Linked DNA regions of Cricetulus griseus. The protein of the gene in region 4 purifies or fractionates together with the protein of the main gene of each other region. This does not show direct contact. Links are inferred from orthologs where the notes say so. Each region holds a gene or a part of one and is shown on either strand. Other genes may lie near its edges.

What was found.
Region 1: the proteins of Cul4b (region 4) and Dcaf1 purify together in Homo sapiens (affinity purification with mass spectrometry; 9 studies listed by BioGRID and IntAct, with this or other methods). This does not show direct contact. The link is inferred for Cricetulus griseus from reciprocal best matches to the Homo sapiens genes CUL4B and DCAF1.
Region 2: the proteins of Cul4b (region 4) and Cops7a purify together in Homo sapiens (affinity purification with mass spectrometry; 6 studies listed by BioGRID and IntAct, with this or other methods). This does not show direct contact. The link is inferred for Cricetulus griseus from reciprocal best matches to the Homo sapiens genes CUL4B and COPS7A.
Region 3: the proteins of Cul4b (region 4) and Tmem43 purify together in Homo sapiens (affinity purification with mass spectrometry; 3 studies listed by BioGRID and IntAct, counting the BioPlex papers as one, with this or other methods). This does not show direct contact. The link is inferred for Cricetulus griseus from reciprocal best matches to the Homo sapiens genes CUL4B and TMEM43.
Region 5: the proteins of Cul4b (region 4) and Dcaf4 purify together in Homo sapiens (affinity purification with mass spectrometry; 9 studies listed by BioGRID and IntAct, counting the BioPlex papers as one, with this or other methods). This does not show direct contact. The link is inferred for Cricetulus griseus from reciprocal best matches to the Homo sapiens genes CUL4B and DCAF4.
Region 6: the proteins of Cul4b (region 4) and Ubxn7 purify together in Homo sapiens (affinity purification with mass spectrometry; 3 studies listed by BioGRID and IntAct, with this or other methods). This does not show direct contact. The link is inferred for Cricetulus griseus from reciprocal best matches to the Homo sapiens genes CUL4B and UBXN7.
Region 7: the proteins of Cul4b (region 4) and Cops9 purify together in Homo sapiens (affinity purification with mass spectrometry; 3 studies listed by BioGRID and IntAct, with this or other methods). This does not show direct contact. The link is inferred for Cricetulus griseus from reciprocal best matches to the Homo sapiens genes CUL4B and COPS9.

Annotation. Positions count from the first base shown.
Region 1 is NC_048597.1:215,042,882-215,046,381, reverse strand, and holds part of Dcaf1 (DDB1- and CUL4-associated factor 1), read right to left. Parts: intron 415-3,500; exon of another isoform or gene 396-414; intron 278-395; 5' UTR 270-277; coding exon 160-269; intron 1-159. UniProt on the Homo sapiens protein: Acts both as a substrate recognition component of E3 ubiquitin-protein ligase complexes and as an atypical serine/threonine-protein kinase, playing key roles in various processes such as cell cycle, telomerase regulation and histone modification.
Region 2 is NC_048601.1:21,450,495-21,454,729, reverse strand, and holds the start of Cops7a (COP9 signalosome complex subunit 7a), read right to left. Parts: upstream 2,801-4,235; 5' UTR 2,658-2,800; exon of another isoform or gene 2,634-2,657; intron 2,431-2,633; exon of another isoform or gene 2,139-2,430; 5' UTR 2,091-2,138; coding exon 1,929-2,090; intron 1,588-1,928; exon of another isoform or gene 1,487-1,587; intron 1-1,486.
Region 3 is NC_048601.1:52,332,943-52,337,225, forward strand, and holds the start of Tmem43 (transmembrane protein 43), read right to left. Parts: upstream 2,801-4,283; 5' UTR 2,586-2,800; coding exon 2,574-2,585; intron 1-2,573. Other genes in the region: Chchd4 (mitochondrial intermembrane space import and assembly protein 40), read left to right, coding at 3,150-3,171. UniProt on the Homo sapiens protein: May have an important role in maintaining nuclear envelope structure by organizing protein complexes at the inner nuclear membrane. Required for retaining emerin at the inner nuclear membrane.
Region 4 is NC_048604.1:28,526,136-28,530,374, forward strand, and holds the start of Cul4b (cullin-4B), read left to right. Parts: upstream 1-1,439; 5' UTR 1,440-1,557; coding exon 1,558-1,585; intron 1,586-2,312; coding exon 2,313-2,891; intron 2,892-4,239.
Region 5 is NC_048598.1:120,191,814-120,195,011, forward strand, and holds part of Dcaf4 (DDB1- and CUL4-associated factor 4), read right to left. Parts: intron 3,052-3,198; coding exon 2,972-3,051; intron 1,711-2,971; coding exon 1,609-1,710; intron 1,481-1,608; coding exon 1,383-1,480; intron 469-1,382; coding exon 295-468; intron 1-294. UniProt on the Homo sapiens protein: May function as a substrate receptor for CUL4-DDB1 E3 ubiquitin-protein ligase complex.
Region 6 is NC_048597.1:57,160,551-57,164,050, forward strand, and holds part of Ubxn7 (UBX domain-containing protein 7), read right to left. Parts: intron 3,233-3,500; coding exon 3,086-3,232; intron 870-3,085; coding exon 779-869; intron 1-778. UniProt on the Homo sapiens protein: Ubiquitin-binding adapter that links a subset of NEDD8-associated cullin ring ligases (CRLs) to the segregase VCP/p97, to regulate turnover of their ubiquitination substrates.
Region 7 is NC_048595.1:444,129,406-444,133,502, forward strand, and holds the start of Cops9 (COP9 signalosome complex subunit 9), read right to left. Parts: upstream 2,801-4,097; 5' UTR 2,731-2,800; coding exon 2,668-2,730; intron 1,102-2,667; coding exon 1,029-1,101; intron 1-1,028.

The DNA.
Region 1 (3,500 bases), on a different chromosome or scaffold from region 4:
GCAGCCCAACATGGTGCTGGGAACCAAATTCTACAAAAATTACAGATGTTCTTAACTGCTCAGCCATCTTGCTAGCACCAATACACCTATTTTTTTAAATATAGTTTTGTGTATAGAAAAGAAAGACAAGTTTTGTGTGGAAAAGCAAATTATTCTTACCTGGTAAGGATAGGTACCATATCCTGCCCACTGCCATGGTCCTTTTCCCACTGCTCCAGCAGGGTAGTGAGCTCAGCTTTGGAGTCCACATGTACCACTACCGTAGTCATGGCTTGGCCTAGAGAAGTAAAAACAGTAAGAAATGAACAAAACAAACATATCTGACATAGTTGCCACAAAAAGAAAAGGATGGAGGTAGTAGGTAAGGGATAAGCTGGACTGGGGAGATGACTCACTTGTTAGCGTCTGAGGCCAGCCTGGTCTATACAGTGAGTTTTACTCCAGCTAGGGCCACAAGAGAGACCCTGTCTCCAAAATATGGGTGGGAGGGCACTGAAACTGAAGAGGTGATGGCTGCAATCAATTGTCAATCTACTAAATACCACTGGGTTGTAAATTTACAATCTTCCGGGATAGGGAGACAGGCTCTCATTAGTAGCTCCAGCTGACATAACCACCACATCAGGCTTACAAGTTGTTTTTAAAGACAAGATATGTATCCTAGGCTACTTTTGAACTTACTTTATATCCAGGAATGACTTTGATTTTCTGATTCTCCTGCTTCTACCTCCCAAGAGCTAGGATTAGAGATATATAACCACTACAGAGGTTTATGGAGTACTGAGGATTGAACTGAGCTTCACGCATGCTAGACGAGTGCTCTACCACATAACAGTCCAGCTCCTTTTTATTTTTTCCATATTTTAAAAGGTTAAATTTTTAAAAGAAATGAATAAATAAATAAGTAAATATAAAAGTAAGTAAATAAGCCAGGCGTTGGTGGCGCACGCCTTTAATCCCAGCACTCGGGAGGCAGGGGCAGGCAGACCTCTGTGAGTTCGAGACCAGCCTGGTCTACAAGAGCTAGTTCCCGGACAGCCTCCAAAGCCACAGAGACACCCTGTCTTGAAAAGCCAAAAAAAAAAAAAATAAGTAAATAAATGAGCCTCACCATGCCTTTAATCCCAGCACTTGGGAAGAAAAGGCAGGAACATCTCCGTGAATTCCAGGACAGTCAGGACTACATAGAAAGAGATCCTGTCTCAAAAAGAACAAGCTAGGCATGGGAATGCAAGCCTTTTAGTTCCAGCACACGAGAGGCAAACGCAGGTGGATCTCTAAGTATGAGGTCAGCCTAGTCTACACAAAATAAGCTCCAAGATAGCCAGGGCTTTGATAACCACCCCTCAACACTCCCCACCCCACCTCCCACACACCCCCCACACCCCCACTCCCCGCCCCAGCAAAAAAAAAAAAAAAAAAAACCTGTAAAGAATGCCCTTTAAGCAATCAGCCTTCTAGAATACATACACTGTTACAGCTTTCTGCTGCTTTCACTTACTTTTGGTTGGCAATTTTTGTTTTGTCCTTTGACAATGACAGGGATTGAACACAGGGCCTTGCTCAGGTTAAGTAAGAACTCCACTACTGAGCTACATCACTAACTCTTGGTTTATTCATTTTGTTGTTTGGTACTAGAATTCTAGAGTCTCAAATATATTAAGAAATCACTCTAACACTGAGCTATACCCCCAATATTTGTTTAGGGCTTTTTGTTTTTTAGTTTTGTTTTTTGGGTAGCTGATATTTTGGTTTGGGTTGTTTTCTTTTTTGTTTTTTGGGGAGGGGAGCATTTTGGTTTTTTTGAGACAGGGTTTTTCTGTGTAGCGCTGGCTTTCCTGGAACTCACTCTGTAGACCAGGCTGGCCTCGAACTCAGAGATCCACCTGCCTCTGCCTCCAGCACTGGGATTAAAGGCTTTCACCCCCAATACCTGACTTGTTTGTTTGTTTGTTTGTTTGTTTTTTGAGTGGTCTATTTGCCCAAATTGTCCTTAAACTCGCTGTCACCCAGGTAGACCTTGAGCCTTGGGTATTCTTAGTTCATCTTTGATTCCTGGGCCTTCAGGCCTACCACACTAGGCCCACTGTGGTAGTTTGAATGTAATTGGCCCACAAATACATAGGGAGTGGTACTATTAGGAGAAAGTGGCCTTGTTGGAGGAAGTGCTTCACTGTAGAGGTCTGCTATGCAGAAGCTATATCCAGTGTGGATACAGACTCCTTCTGCTGCGTTCGGATCAAGAGGTAGGATTCTCAGCTCCTTCTCTAGCACCAAGTCTGCCAGCACACCATGTCCCACCATGATGAAAATGTACTAAACCTTTGAAATTGTAAGCCACCCCGATTAAATGTTTTCCCTTGTAAGAGTTGTAGCAGTTGCCAGGCAGTGGTGGCGCACACATTTAGTCCCAGCACTCAGGAGGCAGAGGCAGGCAGATCTCTGAGAGTTCAAGACCAGCCTGGTCTACAAGAGCTAGTTCCAGGACAGCCTCCAAAGCCAGAGAAACCTTGTTTCGAAAAACCAAGAGTTGTAGCAGTCATGGTGTCTCTTCACGGCAATAGAAACCCTAAGACACTCATGTAACCCAAGGTTTGCTGGGTTGTTTGTTTGTTTGTTTTGAGACAGTGTCACTATGTAACTTGGGCTTGAACTCAAATTCATGATTGTTCAGCTTCAAGTTACATGAGTATTTAGATTACAAGCGTGCACCACCATACCTACTACATTAACATACTATTTTCAAGGTTCTTCCACATATTAGCACAATTTAAAGAAAAAAAAAAGTTTTTAGCACTCGGGAGGCAGAGGCAGGTGGATCTCTGTGAGTACGAGACCAGCCTGGTCTATAAGAGCTAGTTCCAGGACAGCCTCCAAAGCCACAGAGAAACCCTGTCTAGAAAAACCAAAAAAAAAAAAAAAAAAAAAAAAAAAAAAAAAAAAAAAAAAAAAAAAAAAAGTTTTTAAAAGCACAAGAAAATAGCTGGGGCCAGATGGTAGTGGTGCACACCTCTAATCCCAGCACTTGGGAAGCAGAGTCCTCTAAGCCACACTCTCTGTGATTGTCCATCTTCTCTCCACTCGAACACAGAGATGGAGACTGGCCTAGGGGCTTGGAAAATCCAGGCAAGGCTGGAACAGCTCATTTCCTGCATGAGGAAAATGCAGTCAAGCCCAGACCTCCTTTCTACCCCATTCCCCAACTGTCATTAAAGGCACATGCCTTTAATCCCAGCACTTAGAAGGCAGAGGCAAACAGATCTCTGTGAGTTTGAGGCTAGCCTGGTCTACAAGAGCTAGCGCTAGGACAGGCTCTAAAGCTACATAGAGAAACCCTGTCTTAAAAAAAGAAAACAGGGAGTGGACATGACACATGCCTTTAATCCCAGCACTTGGGAGTTCAAGACCAGCCTGGTCTATACAGCAAGTTCCAGGACAACAAAGAAACACCCTGTATGTGTGTGTGGAGGGGGTATAGAATGAAGGGGAATTCAAGGACA
Region 2 (4,235 bases), on a different chromosome or scaffold from region 4:
GATGCAGCAGAATTGCAGCCCTCAAACTAAACTCTTGCTAAATAACTGTCTTCCACAGTTTCATCCATTTATCTGATCTCTTTAACTGAATACAAGCTTGAAGGGCAAACCTGTAGCCTTATATTTTGCAGAATACTAAACACTGTAAGGCAATTAGAAAATGTTTCTTCTACTTATCTTAAAACTATACTTTAGTTCACTGTAGATAAAATCAGGAACAAAAGATAGCGCCAGTTTTCTATAAACGGCAACCCAAAACACATTATATCCTCTAATTCAACCAGAGGCCTCTTAAAACTCGGCTCAGTTTAGCCACACTACTGTTAGCCTCTCAGGACAGAGGCCAGTGACACAGTGTTGGCCATCCATTTGCTCTATACTTCAAGCTCTTGACTGGCCATTTGTTATTGATGCTCTTTGCTGTGTTCATAGCAGTTTACCATTGTCTTTGGGAAGAAGACATTGTCTTCATTATCTACCATAAACGAATTTGTATATTCGACACTTGGGGAGGTAACATAGCATGATAATATGCTCATCTTTACATTTTTAGGAGGCTTTAGACTTTCCCATAATTTTACTTCTGTAATTGTTGAGAGGCAGTACTTTTTTCCTTTTTGCAGTTCTGAGAATCAAGCTATAGAGAGCCTTGCATGCTATAGACAAGGGCTCTTTCACTGAGCTACATCCCTACTCCTTTTTGAGATGGACTCTAAGTTGCATAGGCTGGCCCAATATTTGTGATCCCCCGCCTTAGCATCCCAAGTTCTGAAAAGGACCCCGAGGCCCCACGAATGCTAGGCAAGCACTCTTATCAACTGAGTCATGTTCCAGTTTCTCATCACCATTTTTAGGAGAAAAGTGAGCCTTTTAATAAGGTTTCTCTGATCAAGGTGACATTTTTTTTTTCTTTTTGTTTTGTTTTGAGACAGGGTTTCTCTGTAGCTTTGGAACCTGTCCTGGAACTTGCTCTGTAGACCAGGCTGACCTGGAAATCACAGAGGTCCGCCTGCCTCTGCAAGTGTGTGCCACCACTGCCAGGCCTTGGTTTTTTTTTGTTGTTGTTGTTGTTTTTGTTTTTTTTTTTTTTTGAGACAGGGCTTCTCTATGTAACAGCATTGGCGGGCCTGAAACTCATTCTGTAGACCAGGCTGGCCTCTAACTCAGAACTCCACCTCCCTCTGACTCTTGAGTGCTGAGATTAAAGATACCCCTCCACTACTGAGCTGGTGACATGATTATTAAGAGGTATCACACTGGTGGACAGGCTGAACTTACAAGCAGTATTCTGAATGGCATGTACTTTTGCTTATAAATTAAAAAATCCAGCTGGGTGGTGGTACATGCCTTTGGTTTCGGCACTCAGGAGGCAGAGGCACTTGAATCTCTGTGAGTTCAAGGCCAGCCTGGTCTACAAAGCAAGTTCCAGGACAGCTACAGTTGTTACAGAGAAAAACCTTGTCTGGAAAAACAACAAAATCCTTGCTTGCTTTGGCAGCACATACACAAAAAATGGAACGATACAGAGATCAGCATGGCCCCTGAGCAAAAAATGACACGTAAATTCGTGAATCGTTCCACATTTTTAAATAAGAAAAAAATTAAAATCCGGCAGAAGGCCTAATAGGCAGGAGGATTGCCACAAGTGCAAGGCCAAGCCAGACGATGACTACTACTACTAGTCTAGGGCAGCCGGGTCTTCACAGAGAAACCCTGTCTCAAAAAGATGTGTGTAGAGGGAGGGGACGTTAGATTTACAGACCCCCTTGATCTCCAAAGAGAAATGAAAGACCTTTATTTAACTGGTGGTTAGTTACCAACACCCTGTTGACCTGAGTGGCTTACTGGTTACAAAACGAGCCCAGGCATTCTTGGAAGAAACTTGGGCCCCAAGGTTCTCGGTTGGACTACCCGGGCAAGCAACCCACCTCTCTAACATTGGGCATATCCAGCAGTTCCCCAAACACGTAGACACCAGGGGCCTCCAGCACCTGATGGATGAGTGTGGCCAGCGCTGCCCCCTTGGCCGACTTGGCAAGGAGCAGAAACTGCTCCTGGTTCTGCCCTGTCACCTTCACCTCGGCGCTCATGGCTGCACTGAGGTGCGGGGGCTCGCTCTGGTCTCAAGTTGTCTGGAGCTGCAAGGAAGAGAGGATCGATCGTGAAGCTCAGGGGCCCGGGGCACTGGCGGGGACGGGTCAGCTCGAGGGCAGGGAACCGCACTCCAGAGGCAATCAGTAAGCCAGCCACCTCTGCAGTGAGAAATCGGGTCAAGAGGTCTTAAAAAAAAAAAAAAAAAATCCAGCTCTAGCTTCCTTGGAGTGGGCCGCGGCCCGGCTGCCACGCCCACCCTGCGCGGGGGTCCGGGGCCTAAAGGCAAGCCGCCCCGCGTGCACCCCGCTGGGCCCGCAGGCAGAGGCGGCAGAGGCGGCAGAGGCGGCGGCGGCGGCGGTGAGGGACGCGGTGGCACATGGTGCCACCCTAACGACGACGCACCCCCGCCCGGCTCGGGACGCGTGTGCTGCACGTGCCCGCGGCCACGTGACCTCACCCCCCGCGCTCGCGGCTCCACCCCTCCCTTAAAGAGGCCGCCCAGGACCGGCGGCTCCGCACCGGAGGGGCCGGGCTCGTACCCTGGAACCGGCCGCGGCCGCTACCTGGAAGCCTCGTCCTCCAGCGCACGGGGCGGGGCGGGGCGGGCGAGCGGGCGGGCGGGCGAGCGGCCGCTCCGTCACCTCCGGCGGCTGCTCCCAGCCTTTCCTGCCACCTCCCGCAGGGCCGCTCTAGCCGCGCGCTTCTATGGGCAGCTTCCGGCCGTCCTTCCGCTCTCGGGAGGCGGCTTCCGGGCGGCTGGGGCCCGCTTCCGCTTTCCGACGGCGGCTCGGGACGAGCGGGCTTCCGCTCTGCGGAGAGAGGGTTCTCGGGGGAAGAGCGGTGGGTGCGCGGTGCTGCGAGCGCGGGGAGACGCCGGGGCCGCCGGGACGCCCCCCACTCCCCACCCCACCCCCCGGGAGCTGCAGGGCGGAGCCCAGGGCAGCGCGGAGTTTCTGGGCGACTTAGCGTCGCAGGGACGCGTGCCCGAGTTAGTGGTAGACGCGGCTCGGGTAGTTGAGCCACGCGTGTTTTTAAGAAGAGGAGTTTGGTTTTTTGGTTTTTTGGTTTTTCGAGACAGGGTTTCTCTGTGTAGCTTTGGAGCCTGTCCTGACACTCGCTCTGGAGACCAGGCTGGCCTCGAACTCAGAGATCCTCCTGCCTCTGCCTCCAGAGTGCTGGGATTAAAGGCCACGCCCGGCTAAGAAGAGGAGTTTTAAAAGGCAAAGGGGCCCCGAGTGGTGGCTCATGCTTGCTTTTGCGAGGTAGAGGCGGGGTGTGGGGGGGGTATCCAATCAGGAGTTCAAAATCAGCCTCAGCCATATAGCACCTTCCAGGCCAGTCTGGGCTATTTGAGAACCTGTCTCAAAAGGAAGCAAATGGTAAAGCGGGGGAAATGGATTGGTCGGACTTTTACCGTTTTCTTCCGTGAAGTTTTCAGAGCTTTACTTGGTGACCACACTTGTGTGGCCTTGGTTACCACCCAGTAGTCCTTATGTTTTGACGACTGGAATCTCAGTTGACAGGAGGAAAGTGTTAGTGGAACGGAGGCAGGTGAGGAAATTTAAAAATTAAAAGGGTTTAGATGGGAGCTGGGCGTTGGTGGCGCACGCCTTTAACGCCAGCACTCGGGAGGCAGAGGCAGGCGGATCTCTGTGAGTTCGAGGCCAGCCTGGTCTACAAGATCGAGAGTGCCAGGATAGGCTCCAAAGCTACACAGAGAAACCCTGTCTCAAAAAACAACCAAACAAAAAAGGGTTTAGATGGGCACTTGTAATCCCAGCATTCAGGAGACGGAAGCAGGGGGATTGCTTTGAATTCGAGGCTAGCCTGAGCTACAGTGTGAGAGACCCTGCTTTAAAAAAACTTTAAAATCTTGGGGTGGTGGTGCACACCTTTAATCCCACCACCCGGGAGGCAAGGCAGGTGGACTCCTCAGTTGCAGGCCAGCATCATCTGCATAGGGAATTCCAGGGTACCCAGAACTACTACATAGTGAGAGCAAGTCTCAAAAAACACAACAAAACCCAAAAATCCTTACAGAAAACTTTCAATGTAAGGTAAAGCCAGATGTACTGGTGCATATCTGTAATGCCATCACTCCGGAGGCTGAGGCATACGAATAGAAAGTTCGCATAGAATGA
Region 3 (4,283 bases), on a different chromosome or scaffold from region 4:
CCTTCTTGCCCAGGATCAGAGGATAGATTTGGGTCGGAGTCTATGAGCACAGCAGATGCCACTTCTGGCTGTTCTCCACTGCTGGCTCAGGACACCCACTGAACCCAGAATGACACCATCAGAAACTTAGTGGAGATAATCGCTGCAGACAAGAAGGTGACCATGAGCCAGCTCATGGTCAGTCATGAGCCAGCTCAAGGTGGAAGAGGCTAGCACTACCCCATTTCACAGGTGAGGAAATCGAGACTCACTGCTTAGGATATCTGCCCAGATCAAGCTTATGTGTAGTGAGTAGGTGCTCAAATCCAGCAAGATCCCTCTGCCCTAGACTGCCTTCCTCATTGCTTAAAGTGACCTTAGCTGTAATGTGATCTGAACAATTGGAAATAGAAAAAAGGAAACCTGTGTTTTTCCTGTTCTTCCTAAGCCCAGGAAGGGATAGAAGCCAAGAGGATATTCCTCCAGCTGGGGGAGGGGTGAGATGGCAAATGGTACCTATATGGGAATATGTATTTGCATGTGTATACATACACTTATGTATCCTCCGTAACGTATTCTGAGCACACTGGGCTCAGAATGAACAAGCAATGAAGCAACAGGTGGGAACACACTAGGCCTGGAAATTGGCACACCACGGTTGGAATCCAAGCTCTGTTGCTGTGTGAGCCTGGTAACATGCTCCACCTCTCTGGTCCTGGTTCCTCACTTGCTGGTAATAATACCTACCTGACAGGTCAGCTGTTATTCTGAATCTAGGTGCCTGTGCTCCACCCACTGTCTTTAACCCTGCCTGGTGGCTCAGCTCTAGTATGAATGCTCTGGTCCTCTGTCCCCCAGGCATGACACAGTCATTGACATCTTGAAATAAGAACAGCTTTGATTGTCCACATGAGCCCCTCACATGATCAGGCATGTTTTCTGGAAGAGTGGATGAGATTCCAGCCGATCACCTCCTCCTATGTCCCACCCCTAGCAGTATATAGCATTGCTAGGGTATACAGAAGGCAGAGGCTAACTGAAGGGGGGGCTGGGAGCAAAGGGGATGACACTTCATCTATGCAGCTTTCCAGGGGTGGTCCACCTATGCTGATGTGGGACTTTGGTGAGGTAGCTGTTTAGGGGTTACCCATGCTCCTGCAAGTATGCACAGTTCACCAAGATAGAGTTGGTAGGATTGTTCCTTTGGTCTATGGTTATCCTGCTGACTGAATGGATGTTCATTCAAGTCTTTCCAAGAAAGTAATGTAACAAATAGGCAAAGGCATGGCTACTGAAGAGATCCCATTGTGTCTATGTTTGCTGGTATGAGAGTCAGACTCCAACATCCCCGAGATGGTCTCTGCCTACCAGGACTGTGGGTACTAGCCTGTAAGAGTGACGTTTCCATGGGTTAAGTACCTCCCATGTACCAGGCTCTGTGCCTAGCAATCTTCCTCAAACTTCAAAGTAACTGATCCCATGAGACAGTGAACCCAGAGAAGTTAGAGTGGAAGAATCTGGATTTGCCTCTAGCCTGCCCTCATCACCTTCCCAGGCTGGTGCTGTAGCATATACTGGCCTAGCACCCCCGAGCCGGTGTCTTCTGCTGGGGAACTGTAAAAGATGATGATGATGGTGATGGTGATAAGCGCCATCATGAGTCCACCTGCTCCTGTTAGGCTGGTCTACAGGGTGCCTTCTCCTCTGGCTCCAGTGCAGCTTTCCTAACCTCTGGTTCTCCTGCCTTCCAGGGCCTGACAATGTGCCTTTGCCTGGGCAGTGGGTCCCACAAACTCTGGCCGCTCCAGGGGTGTAGGAGGCCAAGAAGAGGTTTGCCGGACAGAGGAGAGGCCTGGGAAGAGGGGGGCAATGACATTCTACCAAGGAGGGAGAGAGGGTGTGCCTGGGGTTGGCAGCACTCCTGAGCTGGCTTCAGAGGCACTTTCACCAGAGGCAGTGGTGAGTCACCAGCTTCTCCCACACCCAGTTCCCTAGTAAGTGGCGCTGCTCCGCTTGTTGAATGAATGTTCGGATTCACTAGTAAAGTTCTTAAGGACTAGTTGCAGTAGGAAGAAGCCAGAGACCTGGGGGATGTTGGGGACAGGGGGAGAGGTTATCCTCAGCCAGGGTCTCTTACCAAATAAGTGCACCAGGGACCGGACCGTAGAGAAAGGCCTCTCTCTCTTGGTCATCCGGCCAGGCTGGTCCTGCTACAGAAGCAGCACAGCCTAGGTGTACACACCCCCTAGGGCACGGAGGTCAGAGAAGCCTTTGCTGGACAGCTCCACCTGGCCGGAATCGCCTCACCAATATGCCCACCGAGAGACACTTTCCTCGCGGTCCTTCTCCCCAAGTTTCATACCCCAGGGGCCCAGACAGAAACTAGGAGTGGAAGGAGCAACCACGCACGAGCCGATTCGACTTAGAGGAGCGCTCCACAAACGTGCGGCCTGAGGGTGAGTGGACAGGTGGACGAGCACAGGGAGATCAGGGTCGCCGCACCCACTGAGGTCGCATCGCCGAAGGACCCACCGTGGACCAGGGGAAGGAGTGTCCCGGATGATAGTGTGGTCAAGGGAACAGAAGGTACTCACGTTCGCAGCCATGGTGGGCCCGGCTCGCCTCCGCGGTCTAGCACTGCTCTGCTAGGAATTAGGCTGACGACCGGAAGGCAGAATGCGGTGACCTCCTCTCTCCTACCGCGCTGCAAGACTCCGCGTGGAATCCAGGACCTGGCAGGACTCAGGTCAAGAGTTACCGCCCCGCGGATAGTTGTCTGTGCCCCGCAAGTTGTCTGCGCGAGCACATCTCGAGGCCTGCTGGGAAATGTAGTCCGCTATCGGACACTTTCCGCCACAAAATTTCAAGCGCACCCAACACTTCACTGGTGCGCGTGCGCACTGCAAGATTTCTGGGAAATGTAGTACCTGCTTCGTTGGAGGGGCGCACGGGCCGCTGGGCAATGTAGTTTTCGGCTAAGGAGCGGCGCTGGTGCTTAGGAAGCTGGGAGGCAGGCGCGCGGCGGGCAGGCCTGGAGGGGGCGGGTCCGCGCGGGCTTAAGTGCCGCCCGCCAAGCCTGAGGAGAGGCGAAGGGAGGTCACTGCGTGAAGGTGTGTATCCGCTACGGTCGTGCTGAGTGCCTCCCAGAGCTGAGAGCGTCCGGAACAACCATGTCCTACTGCCGGCAGGAAGGTAGGTCGGGTGCTGCCATGGAGACCGCTCGGGCGCCGGCCTGCGAGACACACGCGGTCGGGTGGTTTCCATAGGGCGGCGTGGGCCCTTCGTGGGTTTCACGCGGCGGTTTCCAGATAAGAAAGTAGAGGCTCCGTGAGGAACTAGGCTGGTCCAAGGTCACCGTGACACTCAAACCCGGGCCTCGGAGGCCTCACGTGGGCCCTGCGAGTGCGGAGCATGTTGTATCTAGCTGGGAATTGGGGACTGTTAGGAATTAGTCACCATCGTCCCTAGCACGCCCCACGTGTTTGTATCTCGCTTAGGCTTTTTAATTATCCCGGGAAATTACCACTTGGGCTGGAATAGGCTGTGCTGCGTGGTGAAGCGCCTCTGGCAGGAGTGTTTATTGAGCTCCTCTTGTATACCAGGCACTCTTGAAACTTCACGTAGCGACCTTTATAAGTCGGGTTCTGTTATTGTTCGTGTTTTATCAGACAGTAAACTAAGACGGGTTACTCGGCCCTAGAGCCCATCGGGTGATGAAGCTGCAGTGCCAGTGGGGAGCCCTCTGTTAAAGGCCTTCCTTTCTACCGTCTCCAGCCACGTTGAGGACCACTCACTTGTCTGTTACTTGTGAGCTGCAGCCAAGAAGACTCCAGACTAGTCTGCACCTTAGCCTCTCGGCACTAATGGCTCCTTGTGTCTAAGCTGCTAGCAACCCCTCCAGGCCCTAGTTTCCAGTCTCGGCCATCGTTCATTCTAGTATCCACAAAGCATGTGCCCAGGGGAAAATTGAGTTGGAGGACTATTGGGAATACAAATAAAATTCTTGGGTCACCCAGAATTTTAGAATGAGTAGGCCAGCTTCTTCACTGTAGTCTAGGGAATCTGAGGGGTAAAGGAGGAACTAATCCACCCCAGGCTATGCATCCAATTAGAAGGCCCAGTTTACACCGCACAGCTGTTTCCTCCCGCCCTAGCAATTCTTGTCATGATTTTTGTTTCTTCCAAGTCTAGTGCAGTTTACCAGTTGGCAGGTTGATGTTGAGTCTTTGGGGTAAGTGTTATGATAAAGCTTGTGGGGAACTTTGGCGGATTCCATGGCAGGTGAGGTTGACCGAGGCAGAGGG
Region 4 (4,239 bases):
ACTGACTTTTCAAAGGTGGGTTTCTGGGGTAGTACTCAGCACGTGGACTTTTTCCATCCAAGCTGTTTGCTGTTTTTGAAGTTACAATGCAGAAACATTACGTTGGCAACTGTAGTTTTCTTTGAGTTTGTCTCTCCTGCTGAGAATACCCTAAGATTAACCTTTTTGTTGTTTTTGAGTCTGTGCAGCCTAGCCTGGCCTCAAAGCATCCAGCCTCGGTCTCCAGAGTGCTGGAATGACAGGTATTTGCCAGTGTACTGGCTAAAATTGCCCCCCTACCCAGATTAAGTAAAAAGTCCTAATAGAGATTTTCCAAGGTTTATTGCTGGTAACTTAACCAAATTTCGAGCTTTTTTTCTTGCCAATAATCACATATAAAACTTGGTCTCAGCCGGGCGTTGGCACACACCTTTAATCCCAGCACTCGGGAGGCAGAGGCAGGTGGATCTCTGCGAGTTCGAGACCAGCCTGGTCTAAAGACCTAGTTCCAGGACAGCCTCCAAAGCCACAGAAAAACCCTGTCTCGAAAAACCAAAAACAAAAAAACAAAAACAAAAAAAAGTTGGTCTCATAGCTGGTTGGTGATGGCACTCATCTTTAATCCCAGCACTAAGGTGGCAGAGGCAGGTTAATCTCTGTGAGTTCGAGACCAGCCTGGTCTACAGAGTGAGTTCCAGGTCAGCTAGGGCTGTTACACAGAGAAACCCTTTCTGGAAAATAAACAAGAAAACCCCAAACAAACCAACCCCCCCCCCCCAGAACAAAAAACAAACTTTATCTCATGGGATGCACTAGCAGGGAAACAGACTTGCCAATACTGCCTCTAAACTGAGAGTTGGTAAATGAAGGAAGGTGTCAGCTTTATTTGGTCCTCAAATTACTGAGTTAGTGACTGATAGTGTGTGAGGTTGGGCGGACCCTGAAATTTTGCTGGGTGGGGCTGTTATTTGGCCTTAGAATGTACCCCTACTCCCACCAGCCATCTTAGAAAATGCTCACGGTGGATAAGGTAACAGGATTTACAGCTGTTATTACTGAGACAATGAAAATGAGGGCCCTGTGGGATATTGTGTCACTGACAAAAGTGAGAAATGTGTTGCTCCACTGAGTCCAAAAAAACTTTTCCTGCCAGCTGAGCTTTCTCCACTCTCTGACCGTGGTGATGCTCGTCTGGAGCAGTAGGTATGCTTAGGTTCCCCTCTTATTTGGGGGTCACTCCCAGGGCCTTGCAACTAACTCCTCGGTCCATTTTCTCTTTCAAAGTTTCCCTTCCCTTACTTTTTTTCTTCCCACCCTCTTCTTTTCCCAGCTAGCTGACCCCGCCTCTTGCACGCACCACCTACTCGGCCTCACGGGAGACTTCCCGCTTCTTCTCCCGGCCCCCCTACCCCTATCTGCCCGCCCTCCTCAGGTTCAGAAACCTCCAATCAAGAGCGCCGAAGGTGTCGCCAAGGCCCGCCCTGTCCTCCCTATCCACCTCTTTTACCCCCCTTGTTCCCTCCCCCACCCCCCCCACCTCAAGTCCGGCGGACTCGGGGGCTTCAGGAGCTGGGAGCTATGAAAAGTGTCTGTCCAGGCACTTCCGGTAAGGACGCTGTGGCTCGGAGCTCCCCGCGGGCTCCTTAAGAAAGGGGGTGACTGGCGGCGGGGAGCCCCGGTGAGGAGGGTGCTGGCAGGGAAGGGGTGCGGGAGCGGGAGCTCGTGCAAGCTGCCCGGTGCGAGCATCCCCGGTGCTCCAGTCAACCCCGCGGTTCGCCGGCGCCCCCGCCTCCCCGGCGCCTCGGGTCCTCCTCCACCCCCCACTCCGCGAGGGTGACGCCGCCTCTCCACGGGCGCCGCGTGACCGGAAGTGGCGCCATCTTTAGCCTCTTGTGCTATTGACAATAACAAGCCTTGGCTCGCTCCCCCTCCCCCCTCCAGCCCTGCGTCTCCCCTCCCCGAGAGCGAGGAGGGAGAAAAGGAGGAGGAGCTGCAAGCTTCACTGGCTCGCTGAGTCTCTCCCGCAGAAAGTGGGGGAAGAGAGACGGAAAAGCAGAGGAGGGGGACGGCACGGCCGTTTACCTGTCTGCCTCCTTTGCTTCCCCCCTGCCTCGCTCTCCTTACTGCCGGTGTCAGCCTATCTGCCTTCCCAAGCCCTCCCATTCCCCCCGGTGTGCCCCCCCCACTTTCCTTCTCGTCCTCTGTGTTTCTCCTCTCTTTCTTCCCTTCCCCCTCCAGCATTGCCAACCTCTCCTCCACGCACGCAGGCACATTAACGTAGGTTTTTGATGCTCCTCTGCCTGTTGACCCCGCTATTTTCATGTTTCCAACAGGTTTTTCTTCCCCCAATCCCTCTGCTGCTTCTGCTGCTGCTCAGGAGGTCAGATCTGCCACTGATGGTAATACCAGCACCACTCCGCCCACCTCTGCCAAGAAGAGAAAGTTAAACAGCAGCAGCAGTAGCAGCAGTAACAGTAGTAACGAGAGAGAAGACTTTGATTCCACCTCTTCCTCTTCCACCCCTCCACAAGCTAGAGATTCGGCGTCCCCTTCAACCTCGTCCTTCTGCCTCGGGGTTCCAGTGGCCACTTCCAGCCACGTACAGATACAGAAGAAGCTGCGTTTTGAAGACACCCTGGAGTTTGTAGGGTTTGATACGAAAATGGCTGAGGAATCCTCCTCCTCATCTTCCTCATCTTCGCCAACCGCTGCAATCTCACAGCAGCAGCAGCAGCAGCAGCAGCAGCAGCAGCAGCAGCAGCAGCAGCAACTTAAAAATAAGAGTATATTAATTTCTTCTGTGGCTTCAGTGCACCATGCAAACGGTCTGACCAAATCATCCACCACGGTCTCTAGCTTTGCTAACAGCAAGCCTGGCTCGGCTAAGAAGTTAGTGATCAAGAACTTTAAAGGTAACCAAGGCCAAAATCCATAATCACCTACTAAGAATTTGACACGTGAGCAGTCACGTGTGCTATATATGTTAGGATATCAAACAGTATAGAGGTCGCCTAATGTTTTATGCATAATCAATGAGTGGAAGGGAGGTCCTATTTTTGGTGGAGGGTTCTTTTTTCTGGGGTGTTTGTGGCCTTGCTCTGAAGCACACTCTTTAGTGTTTGCATACAGTGTTTTTTGAGGTCTGCCTCAGCCCATTATATCTAATGTGTTGTTCTTTAAAACATCGGCAGTATGATTGATCCGGATTTTTACAGGTGAGAAACTTGTCTTGTAAAGAGGTACATTTCAGGTGCATAGTGAGTCTTGGCACTACTGAGGTTTGTATTTTTATAGGCCACATGCTCCAGTCCCTAAAAATGCAGGTACCAAGGTTGATCGTTTTATGTTTAAATGAGATTTATAGTTAGGTTCTTAGTGTAGAGTACTGTATTTGTGAAACTCACTGTGGAAGGAATATTGGGTGAAAAAAATCATTTGGGTTTCTGAATTTCTTCCCAAAGGTAAAGTCTGAAAATGAAAACTACTGTGTATGCACAGAAGTAGTCTAGATTCTATCACTAATCTAAAGATAGAAACAGTGAACTACGTCTTTACCTCACCAAAAGGGGCATTTCAAGTATTGACCTGCAGCTACTAGAAAATTTTGCGCACCCCGTGCTTGAAATTACTGATTGAGAGTGTGATGCATGCACCAATGAAAATATAAGCAGCATTTAAAATTTATTTGAGCTAAGTTCTTATCTGTTGAATGTGTTTTTCTGATTATTTTTCACCATCCTCAGCTAGCAGGTAATAGATGCTAGACTGTTTATTCAAATGGGGATGTGAATGAATGGGGAGAATTGGTTACTCTGCTTGTGTTTGAAACGTTGGTGCGGAAAAGGGCAATGTGCTATTTGTCTCACCAAATAGTATTGTCTATTTTTAACCCTTTTTTATATGACCCTCTTTCTGTCCTCAGGCTCTTGAGAGTTACCTTCTTTCTGATTTACTAGTAGAGCTTTTGAAAGTGAATATGAACTGTATTTACAAATTCATTCATTACTTCACTTAAGACAATGATTTAATAGGGAAGGATTTTTCAAGAAATGAGCTGTGATTCTAATTGCATTTGCAAATTGATTTTAGACACTTTATTTTTCTTTCTCCTGAAGGCATTAAAACATTTGGATTCTTTAATTTGCTTCACTTATTGCTGGTGAATGAAGTTTAAACTCTAGATTAAGATTTCTTTCTGTTCTGAAAATACTGCATAGGTTCTGGAGTCATTTGGGTGTTAGTTTGTTTTTAAATTTTCGT
Region 5 (3,198 bases), on a different chromosome or scaffold from region 4:
GGTTACTCGGGAAGGGTGTACCAGGAACTCGGCGACTACCAGGTTTGAAGCTGGAAGGGCGAGGTGATCTCCAGGGGCCTTTTAGATTGTGGAGACTGAAGCCTCTAACTCCTAAAGCTTGAGTCCATCAGAATCACAGAGCCAAAGGCTCTTCTGCACTTCTGTCTAGGCAAGATTAAGCTCATGTGGAGCAGCAAAAGGACTTAGGGTAGCCCCTACCCTGGTGTCTTGGTGTCAGGGTCTCTTACAGACCTGGACCCTACCATTCCGAGGCCTGAAGTCAGGCTCTCCTACCTTTCCAGCCATGTCTGATGCCATCACGTATTGCTCTTCCTTAAGGACCCGTACAGAGGTCACTGCTGAATCATGGAAGATGTGGGTGGCCTTCCAGCCCTTGGCTTGACTTGGAGAACGCAGGTCAATGGCAAAGATCTCCCCAGAACGACAGCCATTAAACAGTAAAGGAGTCTGTGGAGAGAGAGGTAGTGCCCAGCTTTTACCATTGGCCCCTACGGATGGAAGGGTGTGTCCTGCATGAGGGTTGGGAGGAGTTTTGGTCTCAATGGACCCAGAAGGAAGGCAGAATTCTTGTGAGAGGGTAGAAGACATGGACCCTGTGTCTCTCCAGTGTCTACCCTGTGGTGAACCTGTAGGTACTTGGAGGTAGCGCCATTGTCCCCTTAGGCTTCTTTTCTTCCTTTTTATTTTCATTTTTTTACATTTTGGTTTTTTGAGACAGGGTTTTTCTGTAGGTTCTGGAGACTGTCCTGGAATTCTCTTTGAAAACGAGACTGGCCTTGAATTTATAGAGATCTGCCTGCCTCCTGAGTGCTGGGATTAAAGGCATGCCCTGAGTGCTGGGATTAAAGGCATGCGCCACCAACACCCAGCTCTTATTCTTTTTTTTTTGAGACAAGTTTTTTCTGGGTAGCCTTGGCTGTCTTGGAATTCACTTTGTAGACCAGACTGACCTGGAACTGGCAGATCTCCAAGTTCGAGGCCAGTCTGGTCTACAGAGCAAATCTTGAAAAAAAAAAAAAAAAAAAAAACAAATTCTGCTGGGTACGGTGGCACATACCTTTAATCTCAGCACTCAGGAGGCTGAGGCAGAGGGATCTCTGAATTCAAAGATAGCCTGGCCTACAAGTGAGTTCCAAGCCAGCCATGGCTACATAGTGAGTTTCTGTCTCAAGGAAACCAAACCAAAACCAATAAAAAACAACAACAACAACAAAACAAAACAAAGTACCCACTGATCATTCCCATGCCTTTTTTATTGTAAAAAGGCGGGGCCCAGATGATATACTAGGGAAACCCAGTGTCACTCCCGAAAACATTTCACTCTGGGAACGTTCTGTTACACCCTTCCCAATCCAACCAACCTTGACTGCAAATTGCTGAGCCAAGACATCACTGTTGGTTCCATACGACTGCCGGTGTCCTGTCACCACGTTGGTCAACAGGACCCTTCGAGACAAACCTGGTGGAAACAAGAAATGGGTCCCTGAGACCAGGGATGCTGGCAGTCTAGGAAGAGGAACTGGTGGGTGGGACCTTCAGGTTTGTGGAGTTCTTTACTTGACACCCAGGGCTATGGCTATGGCTCACCTGTACTGAAGCAGTTATTGGCCTGGGTGTTCAGGGACCAGGCACAGGACCAGGCACCAGGGATCCGGAAACTGCAGAGAACGCCGGGCTGGTCTGTACCTGCTAAAAGAAACAAAGGAAAACAGGGTCACCTGTGGTGATATTTTGTTTATGATCTTCCAAATAAAGATTGCCTGAAGATCAGATGTCTGTTCAAGGAGCAACTCATGTTCTCAGTCCAGACTGTGGCATTTGTAGTGCTAACAGCTGGGATGGGGGTGGTGTCGGGAATGTGGTTTCAATCCTTGTCCCAATACCAACAGCGTGCTCAAGTCAAACATTGAAAACTATGAACTGACAGAACATCTCGAGGGGTAAATCCAGCCATGTGTCCACCACTAAGACACACCAGTAGCCCAGGAGCCTCCTTCACGTCCTTTTCCAATTTCTATCTCATTTCATATGGTTTCCTAAGGGAGTTACTATCAAGACTTCTAACATTAAAACATGAGTTTCGTGGGGCAACATTTTTTTTTAAAGATTTATTTATTTATTATGTACACAGTGTTCTGCCTGCATGTATGTCTGCAGGCCAGAAGTGGACACTGGATTTCACTACAAATGGTTGTAGTTTCACCATGTGGTTGCTGGGAATTGAACTCAGGACCTTTGGAAGAGAAGGTACTGCACTTTTTTTTTTTTTTTTTTTTGGTTTTTCGAGGCAAGGTTTCTCTGTGTAGCTTTGGAGCCTATCCTGGCACTCGCTCTGGAGACCAGGCTGGCCTCAAACGCAGGCAGTACTCTTAACCACCGAGCCATCTCTCCAGCCCTCCTGGGGCAAAATTTTGACCCACTCCTTATCTGTAAAGTGGTAAGATACACGCCCCTCAAGTTTGCAGGGCAGTGAGATGCTGACAGGGCTAAATGCTCATGGCCTCCTTTACCTCCACAAGGAACCTGCTGGGGTAGGCACTGCCTCCATCTTCCAGAGGTCATGCAATATGGTTGAATATGGGAATGGAGTAGCTGTGCTCTGGGTTAGCTCTGCCTGATGTCTGCAGACAGCATGCAGAGGTCTGTCAGAAGAACCAGTCAAACTGCTTCCAGCAAGCTAGCCGGCATGCCTCCAGCACTTGGGAGCTTAACCAACCACAGGCTGCAGCTCAGACCAGTGTTTTGGTGTCTTGTGCTAGCTAGTCACCTGCACTTTGGTTGCAGAAATGACTTCAAGGGGTTTATAAAAAGTAGCAAAGTCTAAGATGCAGTGATCCTGGGACAGACTTTGGGAACCCTCCCACCCTGCAGCCTATCCCAGCCCATGTGCTTAACTGGGGTCATCCAGAGGACACAGGGCTTTCTCAAGACAAAGGAAGGGACTCTGTACCTTGGTGATTACTGACGAACAGTGATGCTGGGAGCAGGGTGGCGCAGCCTGGTGTCTCTGCAAGGCCCATGAGGCATAGCCTGCAAAAAAATCTGTTAAGGACAGCCAGGTATGGACAGAGCCCTCTTCTGGGAGAAGAATGGCCATCAGTAACTTTCAGGAAATTATGAAACACAAAGGAGGGTGGAGAGTCCAGATATAACACTTTTTACACTTCCCACATCCAG
Region 6 (3,500 bases), on a different chromosome or scaffold from region 4:
TTAAATAATTGCCATATGCATAGTTAAACTTTGCTACAAATTCATATGCCCATCCCTCACTTGAAGTCACACAATATTGTTGTAACCTACTGACAACATCAATTACAACTCATTGATAGATTCCCACCTATGACAGGAAAATTATCTGCTGGCACCACTTACAGCCATTTAGAAAAAAGAAATTCAAACAAAGCAAAATTTAAATAAAAATATTAATGATGAAATCAGCTCATCCTCTAGTGCTTTTAAAAGAATACAACCAGTACTTAAAATAATCTTAACAATTTAATAATAGAAAAACTAGGGCTGGAGAGATGGCTCACAGGTTAAGAGCACTGGTTGCTCTTCCAGAGGTCCTGAGTTCAATTCCCAGCAACCACATGGTGGCTCATAACCATCCATAAAGAGATTTGGTGCCCTGTTGTGGCATGCAGGCATACATGGAGCAGAATGTTGTACTCTTAATAAATAAATAAGTTAAATCTTTAAAAAAAAAAAAAAAACAAAAAACAAAAACCTAAGGTGACCCTTACAAAGAGATGATTGTATCAGCCCCCACTCCCAAGAACAGAACTGCACAAACACAAAACATTGTTACCCATCAAGTTGCCAGAAATACAGTCCCTAAATATACACATCCAAGGGTGTCTACATAATTATAATGGGAATAAACAAAAAACTTTCCTTAACTATTATATTTCTGGAACCAGATCCAATAAAATATTTAGGCACTGAAAAATAATTTATAAGTTAAAAGCTGTAATTTGATATAACTTACCTGTCCGTGGGTCCAAGATGGAAACATAGGGGAAATCCCCTAGTTTATAAAACTGAATGTATCTCTGACCTTCCTCGCTGTCGTGATAAACCTGGTAAGCCAATGATATAAAAAGCCTCTTTAAAAAAGGCTGGCTATAATACTGTCTACTAACAGCAATGGAGTCTCCATGTAAGCCTTTGACAAACATGCTAAATTCTCACTTGCATGTGAGAGTGGAAGTAAGGTCAGGTATGGACTTATATCCCACTCACAGTCCCTTCTGAACACTCATTGTCAACATACAAACCTATTCCTCTTCCCTTCTCAGTTCACAAGAGGTAATAACTCTTCCTTCTCAAGTATCTGTCTATCTATGGGGTTTTTTGTTTGTTTTAGTTTATTTTTGAGACAGGGTCTCACCATGTAGACCAGGCTGTCCTTAAACTCACAGAGCTCTGCCTACCTGTCTCCTAAGTGCTGAGATTAAAGGCATGTGCCACTATGCCTGGCACAGTACATGTATTTTAATAAATCACAATATATGTAGTTTAAAAACCCATCATTTTATTAGGCAGAGATGTAACAATATTTTCTTCAGTCAATATCTGAATTAAACAAAAGGAATTCTGCCATTAAAAAAAATAATCGGGGCTGGAGAGATGGCTCAGAGGTTAAGAGCACTGACTGGCCTTCCAGAGGTTCTGAGTTCGGTTCCCAGTAACCACATGATGGCTCACAACCATCCATTATGAGATCTTGTGCCCTCTTCTGGTATGCAGATATACATGGAAGCAGAATGTTGTATACAAAAAAAAAAAAAAAAAAAAAAAACACAATCACAGAGCTTGGCAGTGATGGTGTATGCCTTTAATCCCAGCTCTCTATAAATTTAAGGCCAGCCTGGTCTACAGAGTGAGTTCAAGAACAGCCAAGGCTATTATACAGAGAAACCCTGTCTCAAAAAAACAATCCCCCAAACAAACAAACCAGTCACAGAGGCCACCATGATAAAAGTGTTGCAGCAAAAGTCTGACAACCTGAGTTTGAGTCCCAGAACCCAAATTCCAAAAGTTGTTCTCAATCCTCCATACCACATACCTATACCCATATAGCACACACAAATTTATAATAATAATAATAATAATAATAATAATAATAATAATAATAATAATAATAAAAACAGAAAAAAACACAAAAATCCCACTGAATTTATCAGACTATAAAACACAAAACAGGTAAATTAATAGCATTAATAGTAGTATATCTTAGAATAAGAAAATATTAAGTTTAAGTTATTTTTTGTAACTTTTTAAAAACTAGAAATTGAAACTGGGCCTGCCTAGACTATAATTCCCAGCTACTCAGGTGTCTGAGGTCAAAGGGTCACAAGTTGAAGGCCTACTTGGGGTAGTTTCAAATGCTAAAAAGGAGGTGAACACCTTTAATCTCAACACTCAGAAGGCAGACACAGGTCAATGTCTGGGTTTAAGCCAGCCTAGTCTACAGAGTGAGTTCCAGGGCAGCCCTGTCTTGAAAAAACAACAAAAACTAAAAAGGAGGATGGAAACTGGCTTAATGGTAGAGCATGTGACTAGCTTGCAGGAGACTCCAGGTTGAATGTCAAGTAGCAAGCCTCTCTAAAAACCAAAAACAAACAAACCAAAAGAACAAAACAACAACAAACACAACCAAACAAAAAGACTGAAACAAAAGGGAAATTAGAAGGCTACCTAGTTTTAACTAGATAATCTACACAAAAAGATATTATATCTGGGACACTAAGGAATACTAAGCTAAAACACTAGTCAAAGAGTAACAAATTCAAGCTCAAACACAAGTTTTAGTGTTTCTCCAATGCTCTAAGATGTTTTCCTCATGGCTGTTGGCCTTGTAGGGCTATTCAACAGTTGAAGTTGACTAATCCATGCAATAAGCATGAAATACATACCATATCTTGAGAATTTAATACACACAGAGAGTAATGACATTAAATCATGTATTGATTTAAAGAAGAAATATTGTTAATTTCACCTGTTTCCTTTGACCCTTTTCAGATATTTCTAGAAATATGTAAACCATGTGTGCTTCCATTGTTTTTCTACTGAATTGTACAGCTGTAGACTGACTGTCAAGATGCTCCTGACTTAGTTCTTTTTTCTCTTTCCATTACTTCTTCACTGCTGCCCTTATCCTTACTATTTACCCATTACAGTTAACTTATGTCATAAATGAATTCACTTTTCCCAGTTTATAAACCCATTTCTCTTCCACAACATCCTATATTATAAAAATAAATATTAAAAAATCTTTAATAGTCCTTCTCACCTGCCAGAAAATGAAATGTTCCCGGATAATATTCTTCACAGCTTCATTGCTCCACACATCACGGTTGAGGCACTGGCATGCAAAGTCTTGTACATTTTGAATGTTTATCATCAGCCACTTATTCTGCATCTGGCCACACTCTTTGGCCTATAAGAGTAAAGTTAAATATTTTTTAAAAAATAGTTTCTAGCCAGACAGTGGTGGTGCATGCCTTTAATCCCAGTGCTTGAGAGACAGAAGCAAGAGGATCTTTGAGTTTGAGGTCAGCCTGGTCTTCACAGTGAGTTCCAGGACAGCTGGGGCTACACAGAGAAAACCTGTCTTGAAAAAAAAATAAAAAAAATTTCTACTTGGTCACTGGTATATTTCAGCATTCAGGTGCTGTCTTTTCCATGTAAATACTAAGCATTCTTTT
Region 7 (4,097 bases), on a different chromosome or scaffold from region 4:
TCAAGTACCATGAGCTGCCACAGACCAAGGTGCCACAAGGCTGCGCTGGGAACACTCAGTAGCCCTGCACCATCTACTCCCTGAACAGAATTTAGAGAATGTCTTCGAAGGTTCCGGTGTTATGTGTCATACCTCTCCCTCTACTTATCCCCCTCCCCGCTTCTGACAGCAGCTGGGAAGAAGCAATGTCCCCAGTGAGGAAAGCACCCATCTGACAGGTGGCATCCCCACACAAGCAGCAACCACAAGCCAATGAGCCCCCAAACCCATCTGGGCCACAAGTAAGCTAGAAATGCACATGGCAGGATGAGTCTGGTTCTTTGGAGAACCATGCACCACAGAGTTCAGGTGAGATGAAACGGAGAAACGCTACTACCCTCCCTGTGGGAAACTTATCCTAAATTCCCAGCTGCCATCTGAACCCTATGTACGGGTTAACCAGTAGGAAGGAGGCCTTCAGAAGTCAGAGGAATGGGAGGTACCAAACATGCCCTGCCACATGCCTGGAGACTCTTCAGTCGGCTTTCACTGTTTGTTTGGTAAAATACTGTAACCAAGACAGCTCTGTTATGCGATGGAGGCATGCCCTCCATCATGACTTCAGACACAGGGCAAGCTCAAGCAGAGCTCAGCTGTTTCTCTGCAAAGGCAGCACAGGACATGAGAATCCAGGTGGGCAAACAGGTGTGACCCAGGGAAACAAGCCACCAATAGGAGACAGTAGAGGGAAGACAGAGCCATGCAGGTCCCTGCACCCAGGTCTGGGATACAGACCATAAATCACTGTGTCCATTTGCATATGCTACCTTGGGTAGTGAGCTGGGGAGGGATTTAGTTCATGTTTTTCCCCTCAAATAGGGCTGACAGCCAGAGCTAACAGCCAGGTGACTCCATACACTTGGCACAGTACCGAGAAGAGAATAAGATCTTGGCTACTCTGCTCCATGATCCAAATTATCCATGACACAAAGCTGCCCACTGCAGGGGAAACTCAGATTAAGCCTGGCACCCAATCCTGCCACACTCACCATTAAAAAAGTCTGCATGAACTGCTTTTTCGTTGGCTGCCAAGTCCATCAAGAGCCCGGTGCTCCCTCCGGCCTGGAGAATGAAAGGTAAGGTCATTCCGTGTGTTTGTTTTCTAAAAGCAGGTGGTAGGTTCATTACCATATCCATCCCTCCTCCCTGGAACGGAACAGTGAGTGACGGGAAGAATGCTCAGACTGGAGCCAGAATTTTCCAGACAAAGGAAGCAGTGTGAATGGGGAAGCCAAGCAAATTATTTTAAAGGTCTCTTGAGGTCCCGTGTTCCTTGAGTCTTCTTTGGCATTGCCGTGTGTAGTGCTCTCTTGCTGGAGTCTTCAGTCCCTTCCCTCAAGACACCACAGGACACAGTGCAGCAGCAAGCCAAGTAACTACTCTAGACCCTCCCCTCTGAGAATGCAGCCATTCCCCTTGGGACGGTGACCACCCCAGCCCTGAGGTCTGGGATGCTGCTCTCTGAGGACCCTCCAGGACAGCCACCTGATTTATGAGATACAATTATACTCTTGGGACTCTGTGCCATTTAGTCACCCAGAAGGTGGGAGCATTCAGGCAGCAGCACTCGGGACAGCTAGCCCCAGGCCCCTTCCTGCCTGGGCCCTAACGCCCCAAGGCTGCTTGCTCAACCCCCTCCTGGTTCTCAAAAGGCTGAACACCTCCTCTGTTCCCTTTCAAATCTGCTCTCTGGACGCTTGGCCTCCCTCCCCAGTCCCATCGCCACAGTAAGCCGCACAGACTCTGCTTCTGAAACCCTGACCAAGCTCCCCCTACCTTCACTGCCTCACTCAGAAGCTCTTCAAGTCTTAATTCTTCCTGTTTCCATTTCTCTACTGTCTCCCTACAAATTCCAAACCCTCCTGTGGACCAACCTCCACAGGAAATCGGCCTGTCTCTCCTTAGTATGACCGCAACGGCCTCGGCAGTGGATCACGGAGCCCATACTCGTTCTGCAGGCTTCATCATGTGGCCCTGCCTGTTCCCTCCCCTCTGTGCCCAATTAGATGGTGTCCCCTCCTGTTTGTGTCCAGGGAGCATCAACTCTTCCAGAGCTCTGCTCCTATGGCTCTTTTCATACATGTCCACATGAAACCAGGGCAAGTCCTTCTCCATTCGGCTCAGGGAAAGCTGAGCCAACCAAAATCCCGTGGACAGGGACTGCATCCGAGCATCTGTCTGCTCGCTGAGTTTTGGGGGGAGCAAGAGGCTTGATACACAAGAGCTGACTGGCACTCCTGATCACAACCACCTCACTGGAGCGCCTGCCCCGGATAAAATCGCTCTGTGGCCACGACGGAGGCCACAGACACAAGGCCGCTCCAAAACTGTGTCTACACCCGAGACCCAGCGCAAAGCACACCAAGGCCACACATCGGCCCTGCCCCTCCCCCCGTCAGCCCCTAAGTCTCTGCTGGGAAGATCTGCCAGGAGCCCGGGTCGGAGAACTGTCCACCAGCAACCCCGACTAGCTCGCTGCAGTCCCGTCGGCCGCACAGCCTCGGGCCCGGCGACTGTCACCGCCAGCTCCGCCTCCCCAGCCGCCGGCGGCGTTAGGCTCCCCCGGGGCGCGTGTTTGCGGGTCGCGCTCCCGCCCCCACGCCCCGCCGCGCACTGCCGCAGCCCCACCTCGTCCAGGTCCACGTAGGGACCCGCTCCCTCGGGGAACATCTCATCCACCGCCGGCTTCATCTCCGAGCTGCGGCGTTGCGCTCACTTCCGGCCAGCCCCGTCCACTTCCGGCGTGCCTCCGAACAGGTCTAGACGCCGGAGGACCGCGCCTCGGTGGTGCCCCGCCGACCCGGCTCCTGAGCAGGGAAGGGCAGCAGGTTACCGGTTTAGGACCAGCAGCAAGCACCCCGCGAGCACCAGTGGCCGGTGGAGAAAGGAGACTGTTTTCCAACAGGGATGCAGTTCTAAACCATCAGATTGGCTACTATACAGAAGCCGCAGCCCGTGATGCGGTAGCGAGAAGGTCCCGGGGTGATTGGACCCCCAGGCTGCTAGGGTTAGCAGAAATCTAAAAGCTGTGCACAGTGGCAGCGACCCAGAATCCCAGCCTAGGTTCACTTGGAAATCGCTCAGGATCACCTCAGCCAAGAGGAGGAAGCAAGAGGTGAACGCAGACGAAACCACAACAGGAGTTATCCACGTGGTACGATAGTATGGGGTCTTCCTTAAGAAGGGATTTCTAACCCATGGGCACGGGTGAGCCTTGAGGATGTTGTTAAGTGAAATAAAACAAACGCTGTGATCCCACTCATGCGAGATCCCCAGGGCAGTGAAACTCCTAGAAATGCTGCGGTGTGGTGGCTTAGGAGAGGCAGGTGTTCAGCGGACAGCTTCAGATCTGCAAAGTGAAGTGTGTGGGGGGAGGCATTATATCCCCGGACTGTTCACTGAGAGTTTGGTATGTTTTAGGGTAAAGATGAGGAAGGGATGGAGGGGGATTACCGGGAGAGCAAGCCTGAGATACTCTGACAGTCTAGAAGATTCTAGTGAGGCTTCTGGATGTTCCCCTAGGACCCTCTGTGCACCTCCTTGTAAGATCCAGGTTTAACAAATATCCCTGTGAAGTCGATGCAGCAAGAAGCCTGAAACCAACTGCCACCTGCCTGCCCTCCATGCCATGTAAGGCCCATCACCCTGTACTATTCCTAGACCGTGTCATCAGACCCTGCCTTCAGCAAAACCCCTGTTACTCCTGAGCCATTTCCTATCTACCTCAAACCCACTCCTCGACTGCCAGGCCCTATTTGCTGATGTTTTTGAGCCAAGTCTCTCCATGCAGTTCAAGGCTGTGACTCTTATACCTGTCACATGGCTGTGGATGGTCTCCCTTACTCTGATTTTATAGTGTTCAGGGACTGGGTTTTTTTTTGGGGGGGGTGGAGTTGGTGACAGTGGTGTTTTTCCTTTAACAGCTTTGAGAAGTCAAGGGCTTAGGGTCTGGGCTGCTAGAGTGAGAATGGGGGTCAAGGGAAACGCCAGCTCCAGGGAAACTGACTTAGCTAAGATATAATGGGAATTGTGTCCTGGGCAGTCACTGCCCCCCACCC